Drosophila melanogaster: one gene and its partners. The protein of the gene in region 3 interacts with the protein of the main gene of each other region in a pairwise test. Each region holds a gene or a part of one and is shown on either strand. Other genes may lie near its edges. The genes, in order: NiPp1, Nop17l and Pp1-87B.

Region 1 (3,755 bases), on a different chromosome or scaffold from region 3:
CGAAAGTATGGAGGAGTTCCAACTGGAGGATTTGGAATGGGCTTTGAGCGTTACTTGCAGCTTGTCACGGGCGTTAAAAACATTCGTGATGTGATACCCTTCCCCAGGTATCCACACAGCTGCAAGATGTGATCAGATAAAGATATTAAATGTTTTGTTTTACGTTAAAAGTCTAATAAACAAATATTACTCCAGAGTGTGTTGTCAATCATATGCTTGAGAAAATCGTAGGTGGAATCTTAATTATTTTGTTAATACGCAATTACAGCTGCCCCAACATGGGCTTGCGACCTGGCCATGCTTCCTTGGCGTATTTCTTTTTCTGTGGGCACAGCGAATCGCCTTCGCCACTCGAGTCATGCGGATCCTCACCAAAGCGACGAACTAAAATGGTGTTATAAACAATCAGTAAGTTTTTAAACAAATAGTCGCGAGAACTATTACCGTTTGCATTAGCGACGGCCAACTTTTGAGCCAATGTCGAGGTCTCCACAGCTTCGTCATAGACTGGCAGCACTTCAGGCGCAGGATTCGGGAGCAATAGGCCCAACTTGGAACCAATGCTCAGCGGGGAGATGGGCTCTAGGTCACCCTTGCCATGCATTTCGGCCGGTAGACCTTGATATAGGGAATTAGTAGGCGAGTGGAGCACCGCATTGGGCGGAGGCATTTCCCTATGCTGCTGCTTCATGTCAACTAGGCTCTGCTGGAACATTTGGTGTACATGTGCGGCATTGGCACTGGACAAACTGCTGTTGCCCGAATGGATGCCCATATGATTGACGTCGCAGCGAGCCCTCTTGGCGGGCACCACAGTGGTTTGTACCAAGTTCCTGAAGCGTCCCACATTAGGATCCACATCCTCAGGATTGATGACAATCTCCTCATCGTTAAATGTGACATTTCGAGTGCGCCGTCCCTGTTTCAAGGCGTTTTGCTTTCGCATATTGGTATCATCATCGATGCCCAGCATTGAGATGCGCCGATTGTGGGCTGTGTTGTATTCTGTGAGATTCTGCAGGATAATGGAAGGTTAGTTTACATAGTATTTAGCTTTTCTTTTCAACCAAACGCACATCAAGCTCCGTTTGGCTTTCGGGTAGGCCCAGGAGAGCTCCATCGCTGGTTTCACTGAGCGGCAGGTCTTCCATGATGTTGCTGTGGTGGCCAGAGGGTCGTTCCCTGAGTATGTAGTTCCGGGTAGAAGCCCCAAAGTGGAAGGTGCTATTAATCTGCAGCTGTGTGGGCTTGTGCGCTTCCAATCTGAGTGTTCCAATAAAGGTGCCATGAGCTGTCAAAAGTAAATGGATAAGCTTACTCCGAATCCCAGATATCTTAGTACCTACTGGACCCCAGATCCACGAGGTAGGCTATGTTGAGGTGCTTGTGGTAGACAAACGCCGAGTGGACCCGCGAACAAGAGGCATGGTCTATGCAGAAGTCGTTCATTTGACTGTTGCGACCAAATAGATAGCATCTTTTTTCATCCACCATCAGTTTTTGTACTAGTTTGTCGTCCTTTAGCACATCCAGATGTAAGCCAGTGGGCGGTTTTCCAGCCCTAAAATAAATAAAATGCTACGTGATTTTGTGGCAAGGCAGCGGCTGAATTTGACAACGCACCAACTGGGTATGTCGTAGCTGTTAGCCATACTTTTAACTTAAGTAAAATAGTTCGGAAGGTAAGTTTATACAAAGTGTTTATTTTTATGAAAAATCCTTAGCCAGTGTGTACACACAATTGACTAGTTGCCGATAATATCGGTTTAGCACAAGCAAATGCAAAGGGGCATTCTCGCGTAAAAAAAAAAACAATGAAATAAGAGTATTATTATTTTAAAGGAACTTACGCACAGTACAACTTTTAATCTTATATCTTTATATTTCTTAAATTGATTTTTGGCTTTTATAATATCTAATGTGTTTCAAATAAAAATCTAAATTAGATGAGAAGCTCATGTTAGCCGATGTTTTCGATGAGCTTCAGAGCTCCGTTACTATCGAGATACCATAAAATTTTTGCCGCCGCCTAAGGTATATTTAAATAGTTGTGCTGCGGTCACACTAAGCTCACGCAACGGACGGACAAATAAACATAAATAACGACATCTGAGTATTCTATAAATAATACGGGCAACTAGCGCTTCCTAGTCCAATTAAAGCGGCTTAAAAAATTAGTGCTGAAGAATTAACGGTTACATAAATGAAAGTTGCGTGTGCAAAACGCCTTTCGCTTTATTTGCTGATGCTGCCAAATCCGTAAACCTGTTTTGGATGCCCATGAACTCATCAACAGCCACCTTGTGACGTCCAAAACAACAAGTATTAATCATAGATAATTAGACGGCGGAAAAATGGTTACGGCCACGGCGATTGCGGATCTGTGCATCTTCCTTTTGACCTGGAACGTGGGCACCCATACGCCGCGAAATCAGGATCTGAGCTCCCTTTTGTCCCTTAATGGCACCACCACTTGTCCGGATAACCAGCTGCCCGATATCTATGTAATCGGATTCCAGGAGGTGAGCACCACACCGCAGGTGCTAAAAATCTTCAATGACGATCCGTGGGTGCTGAAGATCGCGGACTCTCTGAGCGATCACCAGTTCGTAAAGGTGGACTCGAAGCAGCTGCAGGGAATTCTTATAACCATGTTCGCACAGCACAAGCACATCCCGCACATGAAAGAAATCGAGACAGAAGCCACGCGCACGGGACTTGGAGGGCTGTGGGGCAACAAGGGTGCCGTAAGCATTCGACTTTCGCTCTACGGAACTGGCGTCGCATTCGTCTGCTCCCATCTGGCGGCGCACGATGAGAAGCTGAAGGAGCGCATCGAAGACTATCACCAAATCGTGGACAATCACAAGTACAATGCGCAGGGATATCGCCGGATATTCGATCACGACTTTGTCTTTTGGTTTGGCGATCTTAACTTCCGTCTCTCCGGCGATATGTCCGCTTGGGATGTCCGCACGGATGTGGAGAACCAGCGATACGCTGATCTGCTCAAGCTCGACCAGTTGAATCTGCTCCGGGAGAAGGGAAACGCCTTCAGCTTGCTGGAGGAGCAGCAGCCCAACTTTGCGCCCACTTTTAAGGTAACAATCTAATATACAATCTTATTATCTCTACAGTCAAAGTTTGCCTTGAACTTTCTAATCTTAATCTAAATAATGTATATAGGGGTGGGTGTAATTAATTTTATCTGCACTTGAATTTTTAATTTCCGCCAATCACTTCATCAATCAATCACTTCATTCGGCTCCACAGATTTCATGAGAAAAGCAAAATCCAACTAATTTATGAGGCAATATGTCGAATGTAATTAATTCGCCTTATCTCTAGCACCCATATAAAGTTCATTTGATTTTCCTTGCAGTTCGTGGAAGGCACTAATGACTACAACTTGAAGCGGCGACCCGCCTGGTGCGATCGGATTTTGCATCGCGTGCAGAGCAACATTTATCCGGGCATTACCCTGAGTGCCAACCAGCTGTCTTATCAGTCCCACATGGACTACACTCTCTCCGACCACAAGCCCGTATCGGCGACATTCAACTACAAGGTCGAGGCTGCCAACCAGACCTACACCGACGAGGAGCTCCACGAAATGACGCACGGATCTGCCTCATCTCCGGCGACGCCAAATGTTAGTCTATCCTTCGCATTTGTTGTTTTTGTAGCTGTGTCCTATACTCAACTTTGATTTCGCTTCTTTTGTAGTTATTTATCGCTGAACTAGAGCAATGGTA
Region 2 (3,755 bases), on a different chromosome or scaffold from region 3:
CCTTGCCAAAGGCCTCCTGGAATCGGTTGAACTCGTCCCTGCTTATATCGAGCCGCTCATCGTCACAAAGTTTGGATTGTTTATTACGCGATCTAGATGCGGACATAGCTTTCTCGCAGGCACACTTCACTCACGGAGGGATCTCTTCGGTCTCCTCTTCTCTCCTCGGCACTTTTACTACACAAATACAAATTTTCTTATCACTTCGACGGGTTTTGATTTTTTGTTTGTTTCTATTTGTTAGGGGTTGCTCAGTTTTGGGCCACGTTTCCTTGGCAAATGCGTTGGGTTTCTATTTCTGGAAGGTTCTGAAAGTACAAATAAACATAGATGTAAGTACGGACAATCTTGTAAGATAATCAGCTATCTTATATTACGAATGTATAACTGCAATAACAACAAGACAAGTCGTTTGGGAAAAATTACTAGTTTTTCTGTTTCGGCTATACATATGTAAGTTCTATGTATACCTGGCTATTTTATAGTTTTGCAAATAAACCTTGAGGGCATGACTAAATCTTGCGGAACCTGGCGAAACTCTGGAAACTTTCCAATCGAATCTGAGATAAGCCAAGTAAGTACCAGGTCCCAAGGTTGCCCTAGGTCCTGACCATTTCGCAGCCAAAAAAAAACACCGAGCTGGCATTTAATCAAATTCTAATCAGCAGATAGGCAAATAAATATTAAATCAATGACGCAGAAAGGTCGCTGTCGAAAATCACCGGCTATCCGCCGGATTTACGGGCATTATGTAAGTAGATACACATGTGTGTAGATGACTACAAACTGACCACGAGTTTTTTTTTTACTTGTCGGCCAATAAATAAATAAACGAACTGCGTAGTTTGTGAAATTCTAGGAGAACGCGTAAATGTTTTCTGTTTTTTTTTTCGAGTTTTGGTGCGATGCTTTCCCGACGAGCGTTTTTATGAGAATGGGAGCGCTACGCCCGAAACGCCGGCAAATATTGGAGGCTCTTTGCGAGTCGAGCGGCCCACAGAGAGAGCGTCCTCTGCGCAGTGAGGGGCTTTTGATAAGCGCGAAAAAAACCACTTGCCCCAATTGTTTTTGTTTAGCGGGATTCTGCCCCCGCAGCCCCTGCGCTCACACACACATTATGCGATTTCTGGCGCAACCCAACTAATTGTACAATAAACGACCACATCTCTACACACATATGTATGTATATACAAAGATAATGTTTGTATTGCGTCTGCCAACTGATATTACAAACTTATGTACATACATATATGTGCAGGAGGGCGGGGGTGGTAATTGGGGGGTCAGTAAGATGATTCCCTACGGCGTGTGTATCTTCTCCATTGCAAGGAAAACGAGGAAAATTATAACAGTTACGTGACTAAAAACACATGTTTGCGCTGTGGGAGGGGGAAAACTCTGTCGTTTGATCGATACTAGCTGAAACCCATTGATTTTCTGGACAAACCGGTCGCAGTGGACATGAAAACCCTAACTAAGCAAATGTTTTGTTATATTCCATGACACCGGGTAGGTAAATCCGTTAATTTCACTCAGGAAAACAACTTAATGGCACGAAAACTCCTCCACTGAAGATCTCCTGCTTCTCCACTTACCTAAATTGAACACAATTATGCTTTGTGAACACAACGGCACTGAATAAAATAATTGTCTGTTAAATGGGCTCCTTTGCCAAAGACTCTTTGATGGGAGTTCGAGTTTGACGTTCTAGAAACTTTTCCGCTGACCGGCTGCTCGTGTTGGTGTGCGTGTTGTGCTTTGGTATTTTTACGCAGGGGATTTGGGAAATTTGAAGACCCGGTATTTTATGTGAAATATGTTATGTGCAGATGTGGGCCCTGGTCACACTGCCCGCTAGAAGTATATCGATAGGTTCCGATAGGCTCGGACAAATAACATTTCTAGCAATGGAGTCCAATATATATTTAGTTTTTCTATTGACGTTTCTGCTGTACAATAATGCCAGAGGTGGGCATCAATTAGTGTTAATCAATTACCAAGTGCTTGGTGAAGAGAGTGCGCAAGAGAAATTTCGATTTTATGGGGTTTTAGAGCCACATATAATGCCTTGAAAAGTCACTGAGTGTTTTGGGTTTGTTTTCATATGCTGCGGTTCTGGCCAATTGCGTTGCGTATTTGGCCAGGCCAAGGCGAAAAAAGTGCCCTCGGAATGCTGATTGGTGAAAGAAGCACCTGATGGATCCCACAGAATGTATTATATAAACGGATGTCGTGGGCGTTTGCAGCATAAGTGCATTTTCTCAATGATTTACCCACGCACACCACCGTTCTGTGTGTGTATACAGAACTTGCTGGGGCGCCTGTGTGCATGTGTGTGTGTGTGTTAGTGCTGGTGGCGTTTGTGTTGGTTGGGCCGTCCATGTGTGTACATATGTATATGCTATGTGCATATGGTTTAATGTGCATTTGTTATGTTTCAGCCGAAATCAGCGATCATCTGCGGGAGGACATACCGGACTTAGACATGGAGCTCTCCTCCGCCTCATCCGCCCATCTCAATGGCAAGGAGCTACCGGCCGTGCCACAGAACTCGGTGCAGACGCATCCCAGGTGATTATATCTTAAGTCTTGAGCCCATAGCTTGTAGCTCCCGCTTCCGCCCAAAGGCTTTGTATTGCTAATCTCATTTCCCTCCTAATTGCCATGCTGCTAATCCTTAATTAGGAGACACATTAAGAGTAAGCGCCGCATGAAGAGAAGGTAAAACCTACACGACTCATGAACTAAAACATCATAAACTGGTTAACTTTTAGTTAAAATTTTGAAAATATTCATAATTTTACTTAAAAAACCCCATTTTTTTTAAATATTTTATAGTATATTATACTTTTATACCCAAATGTTAACAATTAAAAGCTGCCCGTTTGCGTAACCGATTCTTCTTCAATCTTATTAAACTCTCTCTTTTTTTTATCAGATACAAATGCTACTCCTGCGAGCCGCCCTGTCGGGATCCCTATGAGTTTACCCACACCTGCCAGAATGCGATTCAGGTGAATACTCCACCTTAAACTTGATTAAAACTTAAATGTAACTTAATTTCCGAACTTCAACAGTGCTGGAAGTCGCGCACACGCGATGCCGATGGTCAGGTGCAGGAGTCACGCGGCTGCAGCACCTCGCCGGATCAACTGCCCATGATCTGCAGCCAGAACTCCTTGAAGATCAACGGGCCCAGTAAACGCAATACGGGGAAGTTCGTGAATGTGGTCTGCTGTGCCGGTGATTACTGCAATGAGGGAGACTTTCCGGAACTGCTGCCCTTCGACAGCAATGATGTGACGGTGATAACCGCGGATACCAGTAGCATAAGCAAGATGCTCGTCGCCGTTCTGGGTCCTTTTCTGGTCATCGCTCTGCTGGGCGCCGTGACCATCTTCTTCATTCGTCGTAGCCATCGCAAGCGTCTGGCTGCCTCGCGAACCAAACAGGACCCGGAAGCGTATCTGGTCAATGATGAGCTGCTCCGCGCCACCAGCGCCGGGGACAGTACGCTGAGGGAGTATCTGCAGCACTCGGTGACCTCCGGCTCGGGCAGCGGATTGCCGCTGCTAGTGCAGCGTACGCTAGCCAAACAGGTCACCCTGATCGAGTGCATTGGACGAGGCAAATACGGCGAGGTTTGGCGCGGTCACTGGCATGGCGAAAGCATCGCCGTGAAGATATTCTTCAGTCGCGACGAGGAGTCCTGGAAGCGGGAGACAGAGATATATAGGTGAGCAACAGATTATTTG
Region 3 (3,755 bases):
GTGACCGACTGGCGTCCAGTCGCTCCTCTGCTGCTCCGTTTCCATCTAATCTGCATGGTTATGCGCTTGGTGCTCTGCTCGAACGGTCAGTTGATTAACCTAGTGTTTAAATTTTGGACAAAACCTATAAAAGCGCTGGTGTTCAAATGTGTGTACATGTGTGTGCGTGGGTGAATGGTTGGTCGGTCGGTAGATATACATATATATATATATATACGGGGGCTATTACAAATAAATATGTGGCTTTTAATCATGGTATTTGTCAATGTGTTTGTAATTGCGATTTAAATCTCAATGGGTGTGGGGTGGAAGGGGAAAACTGCAGTCATCTGCTGGAAGGGATGTCTCTGGGGATGTCCTTTGATCGTGGCGCTGCTATTCCATACCAAATTAATGGTGCAATTTCTTGTGGATTTCGACTCGCCCCGGCTGCCGATGATAAAAGTGACCAAAAACAGAGATAAGGTTGGGGTGAGAGTGTGATTCACTAGTTTGTTACTCTGCGTCAGCAGCCCATACTTACGTTTCATGCATCATTTGATGTGTTGTTTCAAAGGATTTTATTTCTGGTTGATTGTGTGGTTGGGTTTGTGGTTGTTTTTGTCGTGTTTATCTTTTGTATCTTGTTTGGATTTCTTATTGATCTGTTTTAGATAGAAAAAGACTGCTCGTGGTGCTGCAGTTGTGTGATATTACTTTTTACGCTTGTCGGCTGGCTTGAGGATTTGGAACGAGCACATCAGCGTATCGTCCACGGACATCATGGCGCCGGCATTGTCGAACTCGCCGCAGTAGTTGGGCGCCGAGAACAGGGTGACCAGCATGCGTTTGGCAAAGAACTCGTACCCATCCTCGACGACTTGATGGGCTCGGCAGATGAGATCGAACTCGTGCTTCTGCAAAAACTTGGCCACCACCTCGGCACCGAAGGTGAAGCTAACGCCGCGGTCGTTTTCGCCCCAGCCCATGGTATCCTTATCGGGATCGGACCACAGGAGATCGCACAGCAGTCCCTGGTCGGGCACATCGGTTGGCCGCATAATGCGACGGATCTGCTCCATGGAGGTCAAATCGGGACTGAGACCACCGTGGCAGCAGAAGATCTTCTCGTCGACAATGGCCGCCACTGGCAGGCAGTTGAAGCAGTCCGTGAATGTCTTCCACAACTTGATGCTGTAGCGACGCTTGCATTCGTCGTAGAATCCGTATATGCGATTAATGCTGGCGCATTCGTGGTTGCCGCGCAGCAGGAAGAAATTCTCCGAGTATTTGATCTTGTAGGCGAGCAGCAGGCAGATCGTCTCCAGCGATTGCTTGCCGCGATCGACGTAGTCGCCGAGGAACAGGTAATTCGATTCCGGCGGAAAGCCGCCGTACTCGAACAGACGCAACAGATCGTAGTACTGTCCATGGATGTCGCCGCAGATCTTCAACGGTGCCTCTAGCTCGAGCAGAATGGGCTGCGACAGGAAGATCTCGCGCGACTTCAAGCAAAGTCCCCGGATCTCGCCCTCCGAGAGCTGTACGTTTTTACCTGGCCGTGCCCCACGCACCTCGAGAAGTCGCGATATTATGCTGTCGATATTCATCACGTCGCCCATGTTTGCGTGCGAAAGTGTGGATCTGGTGCACTAGTGCTGCTGTTGGGTGTCGAGGTTACCGCGAACGATCGTTGGTAGCGCCGAAATAGCCTCGAAATCTTTAATTTCCGAAATCTATTTCTGCTAAATACTTTTCACAGCTAACAAGTATGAAAATTTCTTCGTATGCTGTTGCGTGAGTGCGGGCGGGATGGCGAGTGTGCTTCTAGCTGATGTTGCCACACTGCCGGAAGTCGCGGATATGGCCAGATAATAGACGCCATCTTATCTAATCGATAACATGCAAATATAGTGCATAATCGATAACGAAGTTGCTGTAATATTACTCTTATTACATTAAGGACATTTCCAATCCATTGCAAGAGTTCCGCAATAGCTCTACTTTTATATTTTCATTCGAAACGGGTCTTCTCGACCCTATAGTGGCTCGAAACTGCTGTTAGTAATCGATTAAACGCATGGCGTCCAGTTACTCTATTTCAGCGGTGTGGCAGCCTGATCAGGGGGACACTAGCCATCCCGCTTGCACTCAGGCACGCCTGGCATGACTTACTGTGGAAAAGAGATGGGAGACTGATGCATTTGGCGAGGCTATTCGATATACCGGTAACAAGGGGATATTTAAATACATTGGAAATTCAAATAAGCCAATAAGAATATTCGTTTACAGAACATAGGTTAATTCATTTTCCTTATTGGAATAACTTCCACATGAGTTATGATTTAAAATGCCAAATTTCCCTTAAATTCTCACAAAACTAAATAATATATTGATAGATATATTAACAATCACACTATGTAAAAATTTTGTATGAAATGTGCTCATGTCTTGTTATCGATAATTCGATACTCTATGCATTTCCTGCCTACGCCCGCTAATCATTTAATTAACTGTTAAATAGGCGGGTTTCAATTTAATCAAAATGCTGTTAAACGATATCATAAGCGGAAAATTAGTTGATTCCGTCTATATTATAGCGGAAATTGGCCAAAATCACCAAGGTTGTGTGGAAACAGCGAAGAAAATGATATGGGAGGCCAAAAAAGCCGGTTGCCACTGCGTCAAGTTTCAAAAATCGGATTTGCCAGCAAAGTTTACGAGATCCGCTCTAGATCGCGAATATATCAGTGATCACGCCTGGGGAAAAACGTACGGGGAGCACAAGGAGTACCTGGAGTTCTCCAAAGATCAGTATCTCCAGCTGCAGGCCCACTGCAAGGAGTTAAATGTGGACTTTACGGCTTCCGCCATGGATGAGGTTGATATTAATTAATTGTTAACCAATTACTACTACTAACAATTCCTTTTTTCCCTTGTTTCTTGCTTAAATAGTTATTAATGTGTGTATATGCTATTTTAAACAGAGATCGTTGGAGTTCCTTTCTGCTCTAAATGTTCCCTTCATCAAAATTGGTTCCGGAGACGCAAACAACTTTCCGCTTCTCAAAAAGGCCGCCAATTTGAACTTGCCCCTGGTGATCTCCACCGGAATGCAGACTATGCAAACTGTGGAGAGGATTGTGCAAACTATGCGGGAGTCAGGAAAAGAGGACTACGCTCTAATGCACTGCGTTTCATCGTACCCAACTGACCCAAAAGATTGCAGCTTGCAGTTGATATCCGTCTTAAGGACACGCTTTCCCAATGTGGCAATTGGGTACTCGGGTCATGAGCTGGGAGTGATCATTAGCCAGGCCGCCGTCTTGCTGGGAGCACGCATAGTGGAGCGCCACTTTACGCTGGACAAGAGTCAGAAGGGCTCCGATCATCGCTGCTCCCTAGAGCCGCAAGAATTAAAAGCTCTGACTACAGCCATCACCAACTTCAAACTCTCTTCAGTTCCCATGCCTCCACAAGAAATAGTTAAAAAGTTAAATGGAGATGAGGAACTAGAGGCAGCTCTTCAGCACGTTGAGTCTAAAACCATTTTGCCGTGCGAGCTGCCCTGCCGAAATAAACTGGGCAAATCTATTGTGGCAGCTAGGAATCTCAATAAGGGTTACAGGTTGCAATTGGCAGATATGGCCATTAAAGTCAGTGAACCCAGCGGCCTGACAGCGGAGGATTTCTTGGACTTGGTAGGCAAGGAATTGGCAGACAATATTGGTGAGGATGAACCCATACTTGGGAATAGTATAATCAATTGAATCATG

What was found.
Region 1: the proteins of Pp1-87B (region 3) and NiPp1 interact in a two-hybrid assay, tested with the Drosophila melanogaster proteins (3 studies listed by BioGRID).
Region 2: the proteins of Pp1-87B (region 3) and Nop17l interact in binary tests that used the Drosophila melanogaster proteins (3 or more experiments, as listed by UniProt).

What each region holds. Positions count from the first base shown.
Region 1 is NT_033778.4:17,003,407-17,007,161, forward strand, and holds NiPp1 (nuclear inhibitor of protein phosphatase 1), read right to left. Parts: upstream 1,744-3,755; 5' UTR 1,653-1,743; coding exon 1,624-1,652; intron 1,562-1,623; coding exon 1,347-1,561; intron 1,292-1,346; coding exon 1,077-1,291; intron 1,016-1,076; coding exon 445-1,015; intron 385-444; coding exon 263-384; 3' UTR 157-262; downstream 1-156. Other genes in the region: AsnRS-m (Asparaginyl-tRNA synthetase, mitochondrial), read left to right, coding at 1-132; CG6805 (uncharacterized protein), read left to right, coding at 2,355-3,101, 3,383-3,709.
Region 2 is NT_033778.4:7,804,631-7,808,385, forward strand, and holds the start of Nop17l (Nop17 like), read right to left. Parts: upstream 1,756-3,755; 5' UTR 1,596-1,755; intron 937-1,595; exon of another isoform or gene 471-936; intron 309-470; 5' UTR 107-308; coding exon 1-106. Other genes in the region: sax (saxophone), read left to right, coding at 1,908-1,968, 2,442-2,571, 2,686-2,721, 2,939-3,014, 3,078-3,736. UniProt on the Drosophila melanogaster protein: Required for cytoplasmic pre-assembly of axonemal dyneins, thereby playing a central role in motility in cilia and flagella.
Region 3 is NT_033777.3:12,424,088-12,427,842, forward strand, and holds the start of Pp1-87B (protein phosphatase 1 at 87B), read right to left. Parts: upstream 1,831-3,755; 5' UTR 1,602-1,830; coding exon 693-1,601; 3' UTR 524-692; intron 430-523; 3' UTR 1-429. Other genes in the region: NANS (N-acetylneuraminic acid synthase), read left to right, coding at 2,525-2,860, 2,967-3,749. UniProt on the Drosophila melanogaster protein: Is essential for the regulation of mitotic chromosomal segregation as well as regulation of chromatin condensation during interphase.